4 linked regions of the Drosophila melanogaster genome follow. The gene in region 1 interacts genetically with each later gene. Each region holds a gene or a part of one and is shown on either strand. Other genes may lie near its edges.

Evidence for each region.
Region 2: of TBPH (region 1) and Map205, changing one suppresses a phenotype caused by changing the other (phenotypic suppression), as found in Drosophila melanogaster (one study listed by BioGRID).
Region 3: of TBPH (region 1) and CG30122, changing one enhances a phenotype caused by changing the other (phenotypic enhancement), as found in Drosophila melanogaster (one study listed by BioGRID).
Region 4: of TBPH (region 1) and Syp, changing one suppresses a phenotype caused by changing the other (phenotypic suppression), as found in Drosophila melanogaster (one study listed by BioGRID).

What each region holds. Positions count from the first base shown.
Region 1 is NT_033778.4:23,858,534-23,864,507, reverse strand, and holds TBPH (TAR DNA-binding protein-43 homolog), read left to right. Parts: upstream 1-1,914; 5' UTR 1,915-3,061; coding exon 3,062-3,302; intron 3,303-3,364; coding exon 3,365-3,675; intron 3,676-3,732; coding exon 3,733-3,937; intron 3,938-3,992; coding exon 3,993-4,621; intron 4,622-4,680; coding exon 4,681-4,818; intron 4,819-4,890; coding exon 4,891-4,962; 3' UTR 4,963-5,441; downstream 5,442-5,974. Other genes in the region: Cpes (ceramide phosphoethanolamine synthase), read left to right, coding at 160-1,338; bgcn (benign gonial cell neoplasm), read left to right, coding at 5,809-5,974.
Region 2 is NT_033777.3:32,065,428-32,070,214, reverse strand, and holds the start of Map205 (Microtubule-associated protein 205), read left to right. Parts: upstream 1-1,773; 5' UTR 1,774-2,218; coding exon 2,219-3,886; intron 3,887-4,787. UniProt on the Drosophila melanogaster protein: May play an important role in the regulation of microtubule assembly and interaction.
Region 3 is NT_033778.4:18,633,235-18,641,256, forward strand, and holds the start of CG30122 (uncharacterized protein), read right to left. Parts: upstream 6,037-8,022; 5' UTR 5,727-6,036; coding exon 5,585-5,726; intron 5,384-5,584; coding exon 4,613-5,383; intron 4,506-4,612; coding exon 3,654-4,505; intron 3,588-3,653; coding exon 3,106-3,587; intron 3,038-3,105; coding exon 2,909-3,037; intron 1,708-2,908; coding exon 1,536-1,707; intron 1,052-1,535; coding exon 192-1,051; intron 130-191; coding exon 1-129. Other genes in the region: CheA56a (chemosensory protein A 56a), read left to right, coding at 6,960-7,013, 7,080-7,568.
Region 4 is NT_033777.3:20,788,434-20,793,025, reverse strand, and holds the start of Syp (syncrip), read right to left. Parts: upstream 3,041-4,592; 5' UTR 2,818-3,040; coding exon 2,694-2,817; intron 1,282-2,693; coding exon 1,163-1,281; intron 1,090-1,162; coding exon 777-1,089; intron 713-776; coding exon 471-712; intron 1-470.

The sequences.
Region 1 (5,974 bases):
GTTGCTTGCCAAACTTTTTATGCCGTGCGCGGCTTATCTTGACAACTACTTCGCTTCGATAAACCATATTGATCAGCTTCACTTCTTTCCGCCCCACAGCTGCGCCCTGAAATCAGCCCGATAAGAACTTAGTGTTAAGCGCTACCTCAAAGTGTCACCATGATCGGACCCAGTTCGCAGATCAGCAAGATCCTGCTCACCCTGCTGTTCCTGCTGATCATCTTCTACGTTTTCATGGACGTGGAGCTCTACCTGCGCATCCACAACTATGCCATCGAGAGGAACTATCACACGAATGTCTCGCTGCCCGCCTCCGTCGTGGGTCCGTCCACCTCGGAGTCCGGGTCCGGCAGCATCGGTGGTAGCAGCAGCAGCAGCAGCAGCAGTAGCAGCAGCACCAGTACGAAACTACCCACCGCCGGCGACCGGCAGCCGTCCTACGAGGACCACACCTGGATATCCTGTGATATAAATCCGCTTTGCCATGTGACCGTGAAGGCCATTCTGTTGGACCACACCAACCACTACCTGTTCGCCCCGCTGGCCACCATGTTCGACAACGTGATCGGCTTCTCGCGCTCCACCTTCATCACGCCCAACATGATATCGTTTTTCCATGTGGGCGTGGCCTGTCTGGCGGGCAAACTGGTGGCCTCGGACAGCCTGGGCTATCGGCGGCTGGGCGTGCTGCTCTTCCAGATCCGCACCTTCCTGGACGACCTGGACGGGCATGTGGCGCGCGTGCGCAAGCACATACGCGGCGAGCGCTCGGAGATCGGCACCTCCGGCTACTATGTGGACGGCCTGTGCGACGGACTCGGCTGCATTGCGCTGCTGCTGGGCATATTCTTTTACCTGAAGAACAATCCACCGCGGAGGGGCTACTCGATCATACCCATGAGCGACTCCAAGCTGCCGGAGCCCACCATGATGATACCGAAGATGAAGGCCACCACGCGCAAGGTGGCCAAGAACGTGATCAGCTTCACGGGCCAGCTGCTGCTGAGCTCGACGGCGTGGAATCGCTACATTGCCGTCTACCAGAACATGCTGGAGCGCGAGGACGTGAGCGGCAACCAGTCGCATTGCCAGGATTACGTGTTCAAGTCGACCTGGTTCTTCTGCGTCGCCTGGATGTGGCGCATCGTCAACGTGCACGCCCTGCTGCACTGCGTCCTGCTGAGCATCTTCTGCGACAAGCTGTGGGACTTCCTGCGCGCGATCCGGTACAGCGGTTACATTATCCTGTTAGTTGCTATATGTTTAACTGAAATGCACATTCTGGAGGCCCAGAACTACATTTTCAACTCTACGGCGTGCAGTAATATTTCACTGTGATTTTACTAATATTACGAGAAAATACAATAATATTTGTGTAGTGCAAATCAGCGATGCCTTTTTTAATTGTGTATAAATAATAATGTATCATAATTGTTAGCCAATCATTAATATTTCGAAACCAACTAATGCATTTTGTCATTCAAGCGCGGTCTGCAAGAGCAATCGAAACTCCTTCAGCTGTAAATAATAAATGTTATTGATTAATAAAGTCTAGCTGTTTTTATCGTACGCATTTCCATGGCGAGCTAATTTCGTTTGAATTTATTTATAATGTTTTGTGTTTCGAAATTTCAAATGAACACGATGCGCAATGCTGCCAAGTTTTTTTTTGGTATAGCTGATGGGCAGCACTGCAAGGTTTGGTATTTTATTCGACAGTACCAAATGCCAATATAATTGCCATATTGTAATGTAATATATTGCTTAGATATTCATAGTGGCAATCAACGCTCATATAGTTTAATAAAGAGGCTATTAAAATTTATGTGACAATGCACTGTTTTAACTAAAAATAATACACTTTTAGTATATCTACCCGCCGGCTGGTATTTCTCACTAGCCCTGTTCGGCCACACTGCGCATACGTCAGGCGATACATACAAAGGAAAAGAAAATCAAAACGGAAAGCGAGAAGAAATGCTTCACTCGTCGTTTGAAAATTTGTTAAGCTGTCAATTGTAAATATTACCTGATTCCTATTTCGCACCGATTGAAAGTGGTTGTGCATCGAAGCGTGTGTTGTGTCAAGAACCGAGCGTGGAACGTACAGTGAATACCTGATTTTGCCTGGGTGTGAATCGAATTCGTGTGAGAGAGCGTGCGATCTGAGATCTGGGATCAGAAATCTATATCTACTTGCCATACGCAGTCAGAAATTACAGCAACCAACTAATCCCTGTCAATAGTGTAAGAATTGTTGTGTAACCAACCATCTTTTAGGACCGCCAAACTGCCTCCGTCTACACATTATGTCCTCCCCTCGACGATTGCGTTTGTGTGCGTGTGTGTGTGTGCCACACACTTGCACTCACACACAGACGACAGGATTGGATATTTTCAATTTATGTGGCTTTCATTCATTGATTTTCCAATTCCTGCCGCGATTCCACACTCACAAACGTCAGTTTACTCGTATTAAGTGGGTGAAATATCTGTTTTCTTGAGTAGTTCAAAACATATACATATGTATGCCATACATCGTAAACTTGGGATTGGGTATTCTTCTTTTGTTTATTAACTAAATGTACGTAGAATAGGCATTTAGCCGATGGTGGGACATAAGTAGCGTCTGATTCAGAGAATTTTTAACTAATAATAACGTAAAGAAACGCCTAAACATGAACACTAATAATATATGAATATGTTTGTAATACTTACTAAAATTATATCATCGAAATTACAAGAGATAGAAACATTGTTTATTTGTCGTTTTTAGTAGATTGACCTAGTGTAGGATCCTTTTTGTTTTGGCTTGGTCCCACGAGCAATGTGTGTATAGAGTGGTTCGGGGCAACCTTTTTGTGTTGAATATTGTACCTTGGGATGCATCTGAATAGAACGGATGAACTGAGTGAGTGCATTCATGAATGCAGCGATGCAGAATATGTGGGATGCTTCCGTTGACTGAATGACATGGTGGATCATTTCTAGAGCGAAGTGTGAGCCCCTGCGGCGATAGAGTTCTTTAATCCCCTCCTCGTTTCTAGCAGCCTTCTAGGAAATGGATTTCGTTCAAGTGTCGGAGGAGGAGGGCGACGAGCCCATCGAGCTGCCGGCTGAGGAGGATGGCACTCTGCTTCTGTCCACACTGCAAGCTCAGTTCCCTGGATCCTGCGGTCTGAAGTACCGCAACCTGGACACGAAGGCTGTGCGCGGAGTTCGCTCCAACGAGGGCAGACTGTTTCCGCCCAGCGTGGAGTCCGGCTGGGGCGAGTACGCTTACTTTTGCGTCTTTCCCAAGGGTAAATTCGAGTTGTATGACTCCCTGTTGAACCTTAAATAATTCTGTAATCCCCCCCTGCAGAGAACAAGCGCAAGAGCGACGATAACTTGGAGAACTCAACTGCCAAGACCAAACGCATCGAGACCCGTCTGCGCTGCACTGATCTCATCGTGCTCGGCTTGCCGTGGAAGACCACAGAGGAGAGCTTGCGTGAGTACTTCGAGACCTACGGCGAGGTGCTGATGGCCCAGATCAAGAAGGACACCAAGTCGGGCCAGTCCAAGGGCTTCGGTTTCGTGCGCTTCGGCTCTTACGATGCCCAGATGCGCGTGCTCACCAATCGCCATCTGATCGACGGTCGCTGGTGCGAGGTTAAGGTGCCCAACTCGAAGGTAAGTCCTCTTGTTAGCCCTGCAATTTCACGCCTACTAATCCTTCTATTCTCATAGGGCATGGGCCACCAGGTGCCTTGCAAGGTGTTCGTGGGCCGCTGCACCGAGGACATTAACTCGGACGACTTGCGCGAGTATTTCTCCAAGTTTGGCGAAGTCACTGATGTGTTCATTCCCCGGCCCTTCAGGGCCTTTAGCTTTGTAACCTTCCTTGATCCCGACGTGGCACAGTCCCTGTGCGGAGAGGATCACATTATCAAGGGTGAGTCACTGCCGCGTGGAGAAGAATCAGGGAATTAATGAGACACTTTCCACAGGCGTTTCGGTCCATGTGTCGAATGCTGCTCCAAAGGCCGAGCAGAACAGAAACCAACAGGTCCAGAGCTACAACTACAACTCTGCCAACAGCTTTGGCATGCACTCATACCACCCACAGGGTAACCACATGAATCCGGGCCGCAACGGACACCACCGAGGTAATAACCAACACAATGCTCACGGCGGTGAGAACGCAATTGTGCCCAATAATCACAACATTGGCACCGCCGGCTACGGCATGGGTGGCAACAATTACGGCGGCAACTCGGGCGGGGGCTACCACAACAATGGCGGCAATCACTCCAGTGGCGGGAACACGAACCGCCAGGACGGCGGCAGCCAGTACAACAGTCGCCAGTCGAATTTTCACGGAATGAACCAGCCGCATAACGGCAACGTGGGCGGCAGCAACGGCTGGATGAACCGTGGCCACCTGGACATGCCCAACCTGCAGGCCCTGGGCATCAACTCGCAGGGATCGAGCTCCTCCAACCAGGGCCAAAACATGAGCAACCAGTCAATGCTCAATCTCAACTCATTGCCCATCAATCCCGCACTGGTCGCTGCCGCCTTGAACCAGTGGAGCCTGGTCGGCAACCAGCTGCAGAACCAAAACCAGGACCAACAGGCAAGCCTTCACACCTCAATCATTGTTTCAAACAAAAAACTCTCTCACTTGCTCCGCAGGGCGGCAATTTTCTATCTTGGATGGCTCAGAACGGGGGCCACAACAATGCCAACAACTTTGGTGGACGGAAGGGGCCGAATAACCCGAACAACAATCCGGCCGCCAACGGAATAAAGACCGACAACTCGGAGCCACAGGTTAGAGTCAAAACTGAAACCATCCCCTAAGAAACCTGGATCCCAGCCAGAATCTATTCTACTCTATTCCAGAATGGGAACACCGGTTGGTCGAACCAGAGCAGCGGATCTCAAAACGCCGCGGAGAAGTCAAACTTTCTTTAAGGCGGTGCCTGTCACCCAATGATGTGGTTAATGTGGTTAACCAACACCTCTGTAGCTTACTTAAATTTACATATATGTATTCCACATACAAACCAGTTAAGAATTGTATTTAATATGTAATAGATATTTTGATAATTGTAAACAAGATGACACTGGATGGCTAATAACACAATTGATAAAACACACTTCAAAATAAATTCTGCGCCAAAGCTCAGTAAAAATTGTATCATTGTATCACTTAAGTAGAATTTGATTTGTATTTTGTTGTTTATTAAATATATTTTGGCTTACGCTAAGAAAGTTTAGTTATAAAGATTGTGCACTTATAATGCTGGATCTGCGGAGAATTTCCAATATAACAAAGTTTTCTTTAAGATATCTAAACGAATTTGGCGCAGCCTCATTTTAGAGGAGAATTCATTTAACATGTACATTCATTTCAAAAAATAAAGAATGCAAAAGCATATTAGTACAAAGTGAATCATTTCATTTGAATGGAATCTATGGGATTGTGAATTGAATATTTTAATATATTCCTGTAAAGGAAACTCTCCCGTCTTGGAAACTTATCTCTTATTCTTTGAAAATAACAAAGTATGTTTTATAATTCAGTTTGTAATGACACCTGGATCTTTTTTTTTTACAAATTTCCACTACACATTTGTTTGAGTATATGCAAGGAATACCCTTAATGAGCAAGCTTTGCGCCAGCGAAAATACAGCCCTGTGTTCCATTCCGCCATTTTTCTATTTTCACGACGGTGGCAATAACGGAACTTGCAATTGCCGCGCGCATTGCGGCGCACTTCACTTAATTTAGTGTCAATCTGTTTGAAGCTAGCAGAAATGAACCACATCATCCAGGACAAGTACATTCCGCAACAGCTGCTCTACTTCTTGGCGGGACGGCGCTGCTGCCAGCAGTTCCCGTGCACATTCCGCACCAGCGAGCACGAAGCATTCGCCAACAACGCCCGCTCCTTGGGGCTGCGATCGCAGGTGGTCCATGTCA
Region 2 (4,787 bases), on another chromosome or scaffold:
TTCGTTGAAAATTATGTAACAGACAGAAGGAAACGTTTCCGACTATATAAAGTATATATATTCTTGATCAGGATCAAGATCCAAGTCGATCTAGCCCAGTCCGTCTGTTCGTATGAACGTCGAGACCTTAGGAACCATTAAAGCTAGAAGGTTGAGATGAAGCATACAGATTCTAGAGACCACCCTAACGCCCACAAAACCCCCCAAAACTGCAACGAGCAGAGCTTTTAAACAACTTTTGGATATTTTTTCATAATTTTATTAGTCTTGTAAAGTTCTATCGATTCGCCAAAAACTTTTTGACACGCCCACTCTAAAGATCTAAAACCACCTAGAACTACCACGACCACATTTTTAAAAAAATTGTTGGATATTATTTCATAATTTTGTTGGTCGTGTAAATTTTTATACATTTTTTTTGGCAAAAAATTGGTTGCACGTCGATAGACATTGCCAAGACAAATAAAAATGTAAAATGATATCAACAAATTTTTAAAAGATTGGGCGTGGCAGTTTTGTGCGGCTTGTGGGCTTTAGAGTGGGCGTGGCAGCATGGGTCAACAAACTTCCGCTGTGTCTTCGTTTCTAGAATCTGTATGCTTCATCTCAACCTTCTAGCTTTAATAGTTTCTGAGATCGAGACTCTCACGCGGACAATAAGACGGACAGTCGGACATGGCCAGTTCGACTCGGCTATTGATCCTGATCAAGAATATATATACTTTATATGTTCGGAAACGCTTCCTTCTGCCTGTTACATACTTTTCAACGAATCTAGTATACCCTCTTACTCTACGAGTAACGTTATAAAAACCTTTCGCAGCTAGCATGTTAAAATGAGGAAGGGGGTGTATTATGCTCTTACAGATTATTTGATAAAATGCTAAGTCTAAAAATAAATACAACATCCTCGTAGCCGTAGATTATTTGATAAAATGCTAAGTCTAAAAATAAATAAAAAATCCTCGTAGCCGTATGTAAGACGAGACAAAAATAAATAAAACATCCTCGTAGCCGTATGTAAGACGAGACAAAAATTAATTGCAAATTTTTTAGGCGAAATCGGGCAATAAAAGGGAGCAAGCAAATCCAATCGATAAAAGAATAAAAAAAAACGCTTTAGAACTGATATGCCAATGTTCCGTTTGCCTTAGCTCTATGAAATCTGACTGTCCTACGGTAATCGATTTTCTCTTGTGCCGACATATCAAGCACCGCAAAGGGGACCGTGGGGCATAACCTTAGTATCGAGAACACGACACAGCTTTTTATAAAATAATATCAAGCCGAAGAGCTAAAATAAATTTTGTATAGCCTAAAGCCTTACGATTAATATCATTCTTAAAAAAATTAAAGAACTCAACTTTCTAGCCGTTTTTTATTTTATATTTAGCCAAAAATGGTTAAAACCATATAATTTACAGCCGCTTGTTGATTATTTAATGAGTATTTATTATAACGTCAACTGAAAGGGACTTATTGTGCGATTTAATATATCCTCCTGCTGATAATAAGTAAATATACTGTGGACAGACCGTTGGACAAAATCTACTGGACGTTAGTATTAATAGAGCTATAATACCAATCAACTTATCGAAGTATCGACGAACCGATATCTTGTTCCCGGATTGCGTGAAAATACTGAGGACAGACCGTTCGACAAAAAACCTGTCATTTAGTATTAATCGAGCTATCGATATCTTATATATACTAAAAGATATCATTCAGTATTTTAACAAACGATCCACTGTCGGTATTTCAAGACAAGCCAAGTACGTTCATATTTCGTTTTTTCGTCAGGGTGGGTGTGCGCAAAAATTGGTCGGCAAGCAATTCAAAAGTAAGAGCAACCGGAGCGAACAAAAAAGGGAATAACTTACTAAAATCTCTGAAAGAAAAATAAAAAGACTAACGGGCTCGGCAAGCTGTGTTTATTTCGACAAGTAATTATATACTTGGAGTGCAAGCAAAGGCGAAGGAAGTGGAAGGACAAGCAACGAAATCGTGCTCTTATCCGTTCCTGTACTGTGTCTCTCTTTCGCTGGGAGAGTGTGTGTATTGGTGTGAGTGTAGAAATCTGCAAGAACAGCAACGCCAATAAAAGTGGAATCGAGAAAAAAAACGCAGTGGCGCGTGAATCACGAGCAATCTGAATCATCTCTCTACAAAAATACCTGTTTCTGTTGGCGCATCATTTATACCAATTAAATCCTAAAGGATGGAACACCACGAGGACAACGCGCAGTTGGACAACTACTTGCAGAACCGCCTGGCCGAAAGTCTGCAAATTTGCGGAGGCGCCGGCGAGCATAATCCTCATCTGGCAGACGCTACTGGGGGGAACGGCTGCGCTCCTGGCATTGCGCCCTCAAAGTCGGACGAAGTCGACGGGGAAGAAGACGAGGAGTGGAAGTACATACACGAGGTGCGGCAGAGTGAAAAGCTTCAACAGGAAAAGCTTCCACTGACAAAGGAAACCGGCAATGGCTTCGGGCCCGGACGGGACTCAGATAATCAAGTTCACGGAAACGGAGCTGCCGCTGTCTTCAATCTGTACGAAGAGGACGTGGAAGTGATCAAGAACGATGGTGACTTCTCGACAAATTCTAACACCACTACTTCAACGGACGAGGTAGTTGCCAGGCAGGCCCAGGAGCCAAACCAGTTGCCGGAGCAGCTTCAACAGCAGCAGCAGATAGAATCACAAGGTGTTCACGAGGATCCCCGTCAGGAAGATGAGGATGAGCACAGCTCCGTGGCCACTACTTATGGAACAAGCAGTCTCAGTGAGAACAACTCCTCGCCTTTAGATCAGGAGGAGGTCGTTATGGTGGCCCAAACGGTTGGTCAAGAGCAGTTAGTGGACTTCGACAACAAGGAAAACTCCTATTTTGTTAAAAACCTGGAAGAAAACCACTCGCAGCTAAACCCCAATGCTGTGGCCTTTGTGCCTGGCGTTGGCTCACAATCATCCTCTCCCCTTCCTGCTGCTGAAGATCCACTACCTGGTGTTCAGCCCCGCCCATTTCTACCGGGAGGGACCCTTGACGATTTGGTGGCGGAAAGTCCGCGGAAAGAATTCGCCCGAATCAACATGGATGGTATTGCCGTGCCCGACGAGCGGGAATTTGACATTGAAGCGGATATGCGACCCCACGAGTTGGAGCAGGAATCGGACACTTTTGGGGCAGGACACCTGGAGATGCAGTTGTTGAACGGTATAGGAACCGCTGACCAAGCAGCCTTAAGGGATGTTCTGGATCACGGTCCAGAGACAAGTGTCGATATGGAGTTGCCACTAGATCAGGTGCCCAACGACGCCGACATCATGAAACAATCGATTTATGCCGAGCACAACTCCTCCATTGAAGATATCTTAAATTCCGTGCAACCTTTGCCAATTCAGACTTGTGACGATAAGGAACTAATTCATGTGGAAGAGAAAGAACATGTCTCGAAGTCGCCTTCTACAGAGGAGCTCCAGTTTCAGTCCGACTTCCCAAACAATCAGGAATCGCACACATTATTCAATAACACTGAGCAGGATCCAATGCAGGCTTCATTTTATTTGGAACATACCTCTCAAAAGGCTCAAGAGGGCTGCCAGGAGCAAATGCAGCTTCCCGCTGAGTGCTCTGATATTTTTGCCGACCAGAGTTTATTGCTAGACACCAGTGCACCCCAGTTGAGCTCCGAAGCAGACTCGCCTGTGGCGAAATTGGAGCTGGAATCCCAGCAAGCTGGCATTGTAGACATCACACCTTCGCCCCTTTCTTCCACTGCAGAGAAACATCTGGTTGAAGACACCAAGGAGCTAGTTGAGGAGTACACGTTGGATCCGGAATCCCATTTCTTTGGGGTTGTTTCATCTCAAGCTCCTCTACAGGTAAGCTAAAAATCATGAGCAAATTTGCAAGATCTATTATTATACACACTTCATTTGAAATCACAAGTTTCTAAGATAAATTATTAACTTTGTTGTTATACTCTTTTGTGTTTGAACATCGCATGTGCATGATACGCTACAGCGCCTGTGGACTTCATTCATTCCCAAACTCTCCTTATAACTCTCTTTCTTTTGGGGCTTACTTTTTTTAAAATCAATCATTTATTCGATTACAAATGAGTAGTATTTAGATTCAAAGTTTTAACTTTTAATGCGCAGCCTAGTTTATAACTTCATAACTACTTTTGTTTGTTTTGCATACTTAGTAATGTTCTTTCTGATGATTGCTGCATAGTATTAATTAAATTCTGTTTTAATGATTATTGAGGTGTGCTCTTTTTAAATTTTATTTTGTCCTGGGGTGCGTCATTTGGCTCGCTCTCGCGGCACTGTCGACATTGCTGTTTCCTACGCTCTCCCTTTGTTTTTTGCATTTGGGTGGGGTTGCTTTTTGTTGTTGGACGTGTGTTACTCAATTTTTACACCCAACAGGACATGCAAGTGTTTCCATTGAATGGAATATGGTGTTGGGTTTTGAGTAAGACAGAGTTTTGTATTTATTTGGTGTTATGTCTTTTTTTATTTCTAAAGTTAAAGGTTTGTCCTTATATTAGTCTAAAAAACTTAGATTGTTGCAGTGGCAATGTACAGTACAAAGTTATATTGGGAATGTTTGCAATCCTAAGTAATATAGGTAAAAGGGTTTTTTTCCTTCCTTATACTAATGTACAGGTGTTATTAAAAGCCTTAAGTTAAAGGTTATTTCCTGTGTCCCATAAATATATATTAAAACGTAAACTAATAAACTGTTACCCGAAATTCCTATTTTTATGTTTGGTTT
Region 3 (8,022 bases), 5.2 Mb from region 1:
TGCTTGCTGAGGTTGTTGGTATTGTTGTGACTGCTGCTGAGTCTGCCAGATGCCCGTTTGTTGATGCTGCGGCGCCTGCTGTTGCTGATGGTGTTGACTGTACGTACTCCACTTGCCGCTAAGGGAGGCCTACAGGAACGATCGAGATCTTAGCCAGCTGTCATGCGTCGAGGATTTGGTCGCACACTTACCTTGCCTCCGCCAGGTGCTCCACCTTGTTGCTTGTACTGATCGTAGCCACCGCCTACAGCGGTGTTATTGCCATACTTGGGTAGCGATTGACCAGCTGACCGCTCATAGCCACCGCGACTATCTTCTTTGGTGTCGCGGTGGCCAGGCCGAAAATCCCGTTGTTGATGAGTACCACCTCCCGAGCGATAGCTACTCTGGCTGCTGCCCCGGTTCCGGTCGTTACTGCCCATTCGACTGCGGTCGTTGCCACGGTCTCGATCGCGATAGTCCCGCGAGCTGCCGTAGCCGCGGTCGTCATACCCACTTCTGCGGTTGTTCTGCATCCAGTTTTGCTGACCACCACCACCACCACCACCACCGCCGCCGCCGCCACCACCACCGCTGCCGCCTGCGTATCCACGGTTGCGATTGTCGTATCCACGACTGCCGCTTCCACCGCCACCATAGCCGCGATCATCGTACCCGCTTCTGCGGCTGTTCTGCACCCAATTTTGCTGGCCACCGCTACCGCTGTTGTAGTTGCGGCGATTGTCGTAGCCACGACTGCCGCCTCCACCACTATTGCTGGAGTAACCGCCACCGCCGCCTCCCCTGCGGGAGTCGCTCCAACGACTTTCGTGCCGCTGGCCGCCATAATCACGACGTCGGTCATCATTGTATCGATTCCGGTTCCGGTCATCACGACGATAGTTGTCGCGACTTCCTCGGGATCTCTTGTCACGCGACCTCTCCGCGTCAATGGCCTTTTTGCCCTTCTCGTTGTACTTCTTGACCTCGCTCTTGGCCTCGTCACCAGTCAGCTCCGTGTAGTTTATATCATCGAACCAGCCAAACTCCAGCGAGGGAAGTGTGAAGTTGGCTGGAAAAAGATTGCGTGTACATCATCAATAAGGCTGCACAATTGCTAAAATCGCTCATTATCATTACAGATTAGGAATTATTGTAGATGGAGTATAGAGGGAAAGAAGGGATCAACTTTGGCAACCGAACGTAAAAGGGCGCAAAAATTTCGATTTTCAAGAAATCCAGTTGTGAATAAAGTCCATCCTTTATACGTTCCAGTTGCCAAGTGGGGGTTGTTATAGAATAAATGTTAATGAATAATGGTAATAATAATAATCAAATTATGAGATATTTTGAAGGGCTTACAGTTACAATTACGTATAGATACATAAAGTGCAGCTGCTTACAAACTAAATACGTTACATAAGTTTTTATAATGTTTTTCATTTTAACAAGAATGCCTCCTTATTTAGATAGGTAGAATAATAAGTTATACGATCGTACATTATTCTGGATTTTTTTTTTCAATTCGTTGCTTTGGTGTGGTGGATAATATTTACCTCGTAAATTATTAATTGTTGATTCTTTAACTGTAAAAGCATTTCCCTTTTCCTCTTTTTCGGCGATGCGACGTTTCAATTCATCTTCGCTGGGTATGCAAACGACCGCAATTCGCTTGAAGTCGTTAAAACCCTTCATTTTACGTCGCTGGGCCGAGGCATACACATTGGTCTACAAGAATACAGTTGGTTGATCGGTTGGTTGGTTGGTGTTGTTTGGTTGAATTGGGTTCAGATTTTGTCTGCCAGTTGTTGTTTGGTTGGATTTGGTTTGGTTGTTGTTGGGACAGTCGTCGAACTTGAGAAACACGTTGATGATACGGCTCGGTTGGAGACCTCGGTCTACCGGGATCGAACCCAACTCGCATTGAGCTCGCTTGCTTTCAGCGCTTATAATCTAACACATACCTGTTGCACGGCGGGACACCCACTTCCCGCCCACACTCCGCCGGCAAGGGAGCGGGGCCTTACGGAAGCGGTGCGCGCACACCAACATAATACCTAGGGGGCGGCGACGGGTTAATGTTAACCCGGCCACATCTAACAACAGTTGACTTAATACTTTGCATAAGGATAACAGAATGTACTATGGGGGAAAAGTAGTCGCGGTTGGCTGTGCTGCTGGCTGTAGGATGAAGCATCGCATAGCTTTCTGTAGATACACATACATATATATGAGAATAGTTGGCATTTAGAGAGAGAGATAGAGTAGAGATAGTAGGTACTAATACGTATATGTGATTAGATTGTAGGCGAACGACTCGTCGATCGGATTTGTGTTTGTCTACTTACAGTGGCATCCATGCCGCTCGCTCCTCCTCCTCCTCCTTCTTCCATACTTTACTTCACTCCATTCCATTACACTCACTCATCTTTCTCCAATGCCATTTCCATATCCATATCCACTTCCATCCCCACTTTTCTTACAATTCCCTCTTAACTGCCCCGTCAACTGTTGCGCCTGCACGTAAAACTTAAGCTAATGGGAAGTCCACAGATACTTACTGCCTCAAACTTAAGCACTCTAATTATCGGATCGACTTACAATTAGGACATACCTGCACGTTGGTGCCCCTTCTAGGGGCACTTGGGCACTCTATTAAGTTAGAGCGATGAGCAAAAAAAAAATGCATACTCAAATGTACAATTAAAAAATATATAGCGCAACATTGCTGTGCCCCGCTGGTGGAACCCCTCAATCCCGAGGGGATCAGAGCCCCAGTGTGTTGGGTGGGCGCCAAAGTCATCATCAACGTATAATTCTCGCTTGTTTCGTTTTGTGTTTGGTTATCGTTCGTTCATAGTGTAATCTTGTGTGTTTGTGGGCTGGTGTTTTGTTTCGGGTGTATGTAGGTCATTTGTTAATGGTTTACCTGATCAAGTATGAAATTTCGACGCCGCTTCATGGCAATATCTTCCAGAGCCGCCAAGCTATTTAAGCATATCTCGTACACCTTGTCCCATCGACCTTTGTGCACAGTCTTGCGAGAGGCGCCATCGATCTGCAAATATATTGGTCAGTACTGAATATCTTCAGCGCCTAGCTATGTACATTTATTAACCAACTTACTGTCATCTTTGAAATGAATGCGTCGGGTCCAATCAACTCGTAACGCTTGTCAGCATTCTCGGCCACATGCTTATGGGCCCAATGGGTCTTTCCGGCTCCTGGCAAGCCAACCAGTAAAATGACTTCGCACTCCTTGCGAGATCCGACGCGTTGTGGACCGGAAACCAGCTTTTCGACAGGTACTAAGCCGATCAATACATAGCCTTCCAGCAGGGCAGCTGTATCCCTTGGCTCGGGCACGACATCCTCGTACTCATCTTCGGTCGTCTGCGACCTGTCCTTTTCCTTTTCGGATTCAGCCTTTTCCGAATCTCCATCGGTTTTGGGTCGCTTGTTCGGCGAGGGGCCATCCTCATCTTCTTCATCATTGTTTTCGGAGGGTTTCTTATCCTCAGATGCCTTTTCATCGTTTGCCTGTTCTGCAGCAGCATCACCATTTGACACAGCTGCAGTTTCTGACGACTTTTCGGTAGAAGTTTCAGCTAAAAGGAAAACCCAAAATATTAGCATTTTGTGGGATAACTGATTTTCAATCAATCATTACTCACCAGTTTCCGAAGCCTCGGTAGCTTCTGATTCGGGCTTAGCAGCTTCAGCAGGAGCCTCGACTTTAGTTTCGGCTTCTGTTTCCGTTTTTGGCGCCGCCTCATCCTCTTTGGCTTTTTCAGGATCTTCGGCTTCCTCTTCATCTTTCTCCGAAGAAGCCTTGCCATCTTCATCCTTTTTCTCCACCTCATCATCATCCGCCGTGGCTTCGTCCAAGACCTTCCACTTCTCGCCATCGTTGTCATCCTTATCGTCGTCCTTATCCTTGTCTTCGTCTTTACGTGGCTTGCGGCGCTTGCGCGTGGGCCTCTCGGCATTCACCAACAGCTGCTCGGTGTCAGAGAAATTCACTAAGTATTCGTAGCCCTTGGTAACGATGTGCGGAAACAGGGCTCCCTCCTCGCCCAGTATGCTCTTCTCAAACTCGAACGCAACTCCAAGATCCTCGCCGTTCAGAGTGTAGTTAATTGTGCACGGCTCACTTTCCAGATCTAAATAGCAGCCGATAACGTCATCCAGCTGGTAAGGCTTGCCGTAATCGGTAAACTCGCTCTGAGTAGCCTTACGCCCGGTCTCGCAATAGCCAAATGAATGCTCGGCCTCGCCTAGCAACAAGGAGCTCTTGGGCATTGAAAATCCCACGCGGAATCCTCGCACATGCGGCTCATCGCGGAAGTAGTGCGAGTTCTCCGGCACCGACTCCTCGGAAAGGCGCACCTCAAAGCACACTTTGCCTTCGCGCACTCCGTAGTTTGCGCGGGCTCCGGACCAAATAAGCGAGTAAATTTCCGATGTCAGGGGTTTGGCCGATGCAAACGTGGTTGGGTCGATGCGTAAATGCAAGTCAGAGTCCACTGGAATATAAAAACAAAGGGATATTAGTTACTGTGAATGATGGATCAAGCTTTGAACGTTAAGGAATGTGTGTATCGAATTCGTTGCAAACAGCAAGTCTACTTACGCCAGCTCAATCCGACTTTGTTCTCCTCGATGGTTGGCTCGTCCTCAGGAACTGTGCGTTCCTCGGCCGCTGCCTTTGACTCACGCTTGTCACCTACGCTGCCGCGATGTTTGGACGAGCGGGAGCCACTGCGCGATCGGGATTTGGACCGACTGTGTGATCGCTTGCGGCGTTCCGGGGGCTGATCCTCAGGCTTAGCTGCTGGCTCGGTCTCCTCCGCCGTTTTCGGGGCGGCCGAATCCTCCTCATCAACGTCCATTTTCTGGCTGTCGCCATTTGACTGATGCTCGGCCACAGTGCTCTCGGCTGGTTTCTCCTCTACAGGCTCCTCAGTTTGTGTAGGTTCCTGCTCCTCAGGGGCAGCATCATGATCCTCTTCCATGGGTTCATCAGCCACTTCATTCTGTGGTACGACGGCGGGTACTGCCTCTTCGATTGTCTCCTGCTTGTCGTCTGTCTCCGACTTTTCATCAAACTCTTCGGGCTCAGGCTGCGACTCCTCATTGACCGCTTGGTTGACGGTTGTGTCCTCTGTCACTGCTGCAGCTGGCTCAGCTTCCTCCGGCTCACTTTGTTCTGGTTCCGGCTCGGCTGCTGGCTGTTCACTTTCTGGTTCTGGCTGTGGCACTGTCTTATCCTCCGGCTGCTCCTCCTCTTCGAGAGTATCGAGCACTGGTTCTGCGGCCACGGGAGCAGCTTGCACCGGCGATGGAGAGCGGGACATAGAGCGCGTGCGACGCTGACGGCGGCTTGGTGTGACCGGCGCATTTTCTGGACGCGGGAAAAGTGAAATGTGATTACTTTATCATTATATAAGGAAAACTTACAACTAACTCACGCTCAGTCGCACACAAACAGAAACCGAAACACAAGCATGACTTGGACGCGGCAAAGCACACGCACACAGTGACACCCACACACATACACACTGGAACAATCGGGCGGTCAAATGACGCATACACACAAACTTACCACCGTCGCCGGCTCCTCCTTCCACATATGCCCTCAGGCGCTCGACGAGCACCGCTTTGACTCCTTTGGTGTCCAGGCCGCGCGACTGGAGCTCGTTGCGCAGGTCCACCACCTTCATCTTCTCCAGCTTCGCCACATCCATTCTTGCGCTTCAATTTGGATTGGCGGCAGAAACACACACGCTTATTCACTCAATGTGCACCGCTGAAAAGCTGGCGATGTGAAAAACTGAATTGGGGGAATTTCGGGCCAAATCACGCTGTCTGGCAAATGACACCCACACTGGAAATGTCACCGTAGTCAAGTCGCAATGGTTGCTAGCACCGTGCGCGCACAATTAAAACGCAATATTCGTTTTTACATTCGCATTTGTTGCGAATAAATAAATGGACCTAAATATTATACCGAACGCGTTGAAGTGAAGTTGGCTGCGATTGGGAAAACGAAAACGTAGAGCTACCGTGCTTGGGTTCGATACTTGTGCTTGGTGGCTATCGATAACAGGCTGAACATCACTAGCGATAGAAGGCGCTTGTGTGCATCAACCGTTTGCATGTGCGCTGCAAGAAAATATTTAATGATTGAATGATTTGTAGTAAATACTATATCAATAAAAATTAATAGGCAAAGTCAATGTTTATTTCAAAACATAATTAATAGTATTAAAACCTGCATAACAAAGTGTTTTTCGTAAATTGACTTTAGGTATAATGGCTGTTTGGCACAGGCATTAACAACGACTCCGTGGCGCAACGGTAGCGCGTCCGACTCCAGATCGGAAGGTTGCGTGTTCAAATCACGTCGGGGTCAAGCAATTGATGTTTTTTTTTCATTATTTTTAGTTTGCAAACTATATAAAATAAATACGAATTTAAGATTTCAAAAAAAAAAAACAGTATACAAAATTTGCATCGGCCGGGAATCGAACCCGGGCCGCCCGCGTGGCAGGCGAGCATTCTACCACTGAACCACCGATGCTTAAATACTAGATGTCTTACCTTCAATATAAGCTTGGATTGCAAATCCATTGGGTCATTTCTATAAATTGCTAAAATAGTTTAAGGTTGATTAATAAAATGTAATGCTGAAATAAAACTAACTTAATACGCAGCGTTGCTAATATACTTATTACGAAAAACTGCATGTTTTTTATATTATACCATTTTCCTAACTTGTTATAACATCCTAACTTCCTAACTTTTGTAACATCGATTGTGGCCATGCCCCTTCAGCAGAACAAGTGCTCATTAACACTCACTTATAATTAAATTTGAAATATATTTTATCGACATGCCATACTCATGTCGCTATAAAATCTATAAGTTAAAGATGCACAATCCAAAATTTCGCAATTGGAGCGTTTAAATTCAGGAATATGTCTTTTTGGTGGATGATACAAAGCCTTTTGATCCTGTGGACAGTGTCAGTGGTAAGAATAAATAAAATAATCAATAAAGAAATTTGTGGCAATAATATATTTATTTTTAATTTTTAGGGATCAAAAAAAAGCAACTATGAAGTCCGCTTTGAGTCGATAGATGCCGTAAAAGGAAGTACCGAAACCCTTTTTCTATACCAGCTACGATTGCTCGGTAGAAACCGCATGATAAATGGAACTCTTATTTTCTTAGAAGACTTGGACGAAACGTTCGACGTCCTTTTCGAATCCCACGCATTTAAAAATGGATATTGGGTCAAGGGAATCGTGAACGCCGCCGCCAGCAAACCCTGCGAATTTTTCAATCGCTACTACATTTCCTTTTTCCTAGTAAAATCGACCGAATCGAATTTACCCACTACCGGTGCTGAAATGTGTCCTTTTCGAAAGGGTACATATTTTGTGAAAAACGGCGTTGTTTCTACCGAAGATTGGCCACCCATTGTCTTTAAAGGTCTTAACAGATTCACCATTTCGTATCTAAAAAATGGCGAATGTGTTGGTGGAGTTCAGTTAACAATTAGTATAGCAGAAATCATCACATAGTCTTAAAAATTTATAATACCACGAAAAAATATATGGCATAAATGAAAACTCAATTATTTCTCTGTGTGTGTGTGTATGTATAGCCAAGCCATTTTTATATATTTTTCTTCTTACATTTTTGATTACAGTTTATAGTTACAGCTAAAATGATTGCATTCGAAATTGTTTCGTTTCGTTTACACGGAATATGCGCATATATATTTAGCTAAGAATCTCTTTTAAATAGTAATAGGTTCTTTAATGGGGTTCACATAAATATTTACATGCACATTTGCACATAGAATTGTAATAATTATTTATCGTTATATATCGCTTTTACGTTCCCAGTTCAGATCCATTTCTAAGGCTCGTCCCAAGCAACCGTCTCCAGCGTCGGAACTCAATCTTGTATCTAATTGAAGAGAGATTATGTATGTCGCATTCATCAATTGCTATTGCTAATCGGCCGATAATT
Region 4 (4,592 bases), on another chromosome or scaffold:
GAGAGAGTGAGACAGATAGCGTTGCCCATAGTTCGAATTCTTAATAGCAAAGGCAGAGAGGTAAAGTAAGCATACGTTAAAAACTAAATGGAATTGCAGAATTTCTCATGGTCGGATCTAAAAGCGCCAAATCGGTTGTGATCAAATCGGTAATTTTTCGCTCTTGCTGTGGAGAATTTCAAATATTTGAATTTTGCTTTGGCCGCATAACTGTTCCTACTTCATCCGATGTGTTATAACACGATAGTAAATATGTGGATACAATACGTTAAATATGTATATATATAGGATATTTGTATAGGTCTTAAGAGTTAGCAATACGTAAAAACATTGAAGCGGGGATCAAACTGATTTGGTGGTCAGGGTCGGATGGGGTGGGGTTTTCATTGGGGAGACTGGGTTTTCAGGTGGGCTGGGCTGGGCTGGACTGGTGGTTGGTGGTATGGATGATCTGTGGTTGGCTTAAATACCTGTCGCACTGCATTGACGGCCGCTTCGCGATTTGTGAATGTGACAAATGCATAACCACGATTTGTGCCCGTCATCGGGTCCATCATGAGTCGTAGGTCCCAGATTATGCCGCAGTTCTCGAATAGCGGAATCAGTTCGTCCTCGTACATGTCCTTGGGTATCTTGCCGCAGAAAACCTCGCAACCGTTGCCTGGCACATTTCCCTCCCAATGCGGCGGCGGTCCGCCGTATTTACGCTGACCTGAGTACGGTATAAGTAATAGTATTAGATAAAAGTTTCTCCAGTACTTGAAAATGTTTCTCACCTGTCGTCACATCTAATGTGTAGCCGGTGCGCTCGAGGATTTTCTTGATCTTGTCCTCGTCGGGACCTTTGACAGTTGCGGGCGCGGCCACGCCCTGTTGGCTGGCTCGACTCTTCTGTCGGTACGTCTTCATCACGCCGCATAGGTAGGCGGACTTGTTTGACACGTGCTCCAGGTTCGATTCCAGGAACTGTCCCAACACATTCAAGGCACCATCGACGGGAAACTCCTTGAGCGCGTCCAGGGCGCGCTCGTCCAGCTCGGCGTGAGCCAACTTGCCGGTTTTGTAGATCTCATCCAGTTTGCCGGCGACCTAGGAGCATATGTTGCATGTGGCAAATGTTGGTAATAGTTGGCATGTGGTGTTGGGTTCTCAAAGCACTCACCTTCTTGTCCAGACCGTATTCCAGCAGCTTGGGATAATCCTCTGTACGCTCGCCATCGCCACGGTCATCGGCTTTCTGGTTAATGTCATCCAACAGTTCGCCATTACCTTCCGCCATTTCTGCAAGTGCAACGATAATAAAATGTTATAAATATATATTGAGTATTTATACATAAATATTAATATTCTTGAAACATACATTCAAGTGAGCACCCACAAATTGTGCGACCTATAAAATCACCTTGTAGAGTTCAACGAACGCAAAATAGCCACAAACGGCGAGCGCTTGGTAAAAAATGGGTCGCGAGAATGTGCGAAATACGAGAAATACGAAAAATTGGCAACTTACGCACCGTCGCACGCACTCGCGGAATGAGATAAACGGGGAGTGCGATAAAGCAGGGAGCATGGGAGAGAGAGGAGACAACAAAGCGAGCAACAAAGTTCATTGACTCCAAACAAATGCGAAACGCACAAATTTGCGATCCAGAAGAGCGCGCATCCGAGCACCGAAAAGTGCGTGAGAAAGGCAAGAGAAGGAGAAAGGCAAACGAGAAGAGAAAGAGGGAGCCGCATGAAAACGTATTGGCCAAAATGTAAACAAACGAAAAGAGGCGCGATTTGCGAATTGTGCGTGACGTGTTGCGTATACGCGATGTGTTCGGCCACGCTCACAAGAGCGTGACGTATTAGTTGCCCTGGTAACAGCTGATGAATCTAGTGGGTTCACTTTTTGCCGTGTTTGAAGCTACTGGACTTTAGACTTGGATTAGTATTAGTAGTTTTATTGACTAAAAGTAGTAGTATACGTGATTTGCTATGTTAAATCAGCCTAATACATTTATTTATGATCTGTTCCGTGGCTAAATTCAGTTGAGCTGCGGAAACAAGAGCTGTTCGCTTTCGTTGCAATTGCAGCCGCAGCTGCACACAGGCATTTATCATAAATGAATATTTATGGCACACTCATAATGAAAATGCAAATGTTCCACAGTTGTCAAGTGGCAAACGCTCACCTATACAGGCCGCAGCATAGAAAGCTACCTTAGCAGCCACACTATCAGCAAATGCTATTTTGATTCGCGTGTACACGTATATTCGTATGTATATTATATATATGTACGATGTGTATGTACATACATACATATAGAAAGTTGTGTGTGTTTGACGTTCAAACAAAAACGAAGCAAGCTGCAAAAATAAAAACGAGGGACCCCAACTAGCCGAGAGCGATAATTGCGTAACATGTGCAAAAAAAAAAAAACAAAAACAAAAAAAAACAGCAGCAATATCAGCTAGCTCTATCGTTCAAGAATGGGAGAGCCAAACCAGCGATAGAGCGCGACCCACAAAAATTATGGGCAAACCCGAACATTTCTAAAATCTTTTCTGTTTGTTGCTGCTCTCTCCACTGGCATTCTGCGAATTTCGCATTAATTCTCCGGCATTCGATTCGTTTTCGCTGACATTGAAATACTTTGCGATTGATATCGGGGGCAATTGGGTGTTTTGCAGCGGCGTGGAATACTCACTGCTGCAACTGGGAATTGGGCTGGGGGTCCTGAATGAAGACGGTGTTTTGAGGATCGTGCGGCTCAGAGCCTCGCCGCCCCCTTCATCCTTCTGCACTTTGGAGGCTTCCATCTGGGAAAGCATCGCGTAATGCAACAATTTAACAATTTTCAATTTCCTTAGGCGACTTGGAATTTCGATTGCAAATGTGAATGAATTTGTTTTCGCTTTTTCTTATTTTTGAAGTAAAAATCAATAGTTCCGAAACGATTCGAGAGACGAGAAAAATTTTCACAACTGAATAGAAACAAAAAACATTACGGAATAACTTTTGACAATCGCCCAGCAGGGCCAACTACGCATCGATATTTAGAAAGGGTTACCGAACCGAACCCACTTTGTTGAGGTGGCAATCCTGAAAATGGTGTGGTGCAAGTATTAAGACCACAAATTTATGACAACTGCAGTGGGGCCATCAGAATGCCATGTGCGCTATGACAACTATAACAATAAGCGGAACCAGTCAACCAGTAACAACAAAAACATATCCCATTATCTAGGCCCCTCCAACACATAAATACTATGTATTTATATGCATGTATGTATATCTAGATTGTTGGGCGCGAAAACGCAGCGAGCTGTAAGTGAAAAGTGTTGGCGACAACCGCAGGGAAGCCCACAAAAGGGCAAACACCGGGGGAGCGTCATGAAGTTGCGCTGGCGATGCGAGAAAGGCGGGAAAATCAGGAAAAGCGCTTTATCGGCGCACAGCGAGTAAATGAATAATAAACACATGGGCAATGGATATTGAGCCAGTCGAAAGGAGTAGACAACAATGCAGGAAATTCCATTAGGATTGCAGTGAAATATCGATAAAATGGTATTCCTTATACGCTGAGTTGCCATGCTAATGCTTCTATGGCATATGGAAGTGCATACTGAACAAAAAAAAAAACAGGATGACTGGCCACATACCACAGCCAATTTAAGTCTTTATTCTTGGGTCTCCCGAACTCAAAGCTATTCAGGTGACGGCTCCTGGCCTAAAACCGCTTTCAATTTGCAACACTTGCCGGACTGTGTGTGTGCTTTTTTTTTCCAGCCCGAGTCATCATTTTTTATGCATGTTTGTTATGGCAACAGGGTAGTCGCCGCTTGTTTGCCCCAGCGGTGGCAACTCTGTCCCATGCATATACTCGTACAGAAAAAATAGAAGCACGGCTAAAATGGGGGAAAAACAAAGAAACGTTTGCATGTTAAAGAACATTCCTTTTTGCATGCTCGTTTTGTTTGCCAGAGCCGCTTGGCAACTACCTCAATAAATTTGATGTTGATGCCGGCGATATGCGCAAACATACACAGCCAGCCATACATACACACATGCATATCCTGGCATATCCTGCCTTCTTGCACTTGTGTCGGTTAGTTACACCCTCGGTTGTATAAAAAAAAAAAAAAAAAAAACAGAAAAAGTCACCCTCTAGCTGCTAGCAGGGGTGATTCGCCCCGGATTCCACCTCTCCCCCGCCATTCCGGACTCGGATTCGGATTCGGCCTCCTTTGCCAAGAGATAATGCCTGGTGTAAGGTTAGTAAATCAGCGATATGACAAATCGCCGCAAACGCAGGCGGAGCACTTAATGCGGCGCTTTTTCAATGGGAGACAAAGGAGAATCAAAAATTGCTGATAAAGCCAAATAAATCGTTTTGCCACATTTGTTCGTCACTCGCGTCCGTCTGCCAGACAATACGTCGCCGCCGGCAGCAGTCTGGTCTAGAATTACAAGATCTCCCCAATGGCAAATTGGCAACTCCGCCCCTGTTTCTGTCAACCGAAGCCAGACTGACTGTAGACTGCAGAAACTATGAGTATCTTTAGGATGGTGGCGGCTGGCTATAGTCCAGGGGTTGCTCGCCGTG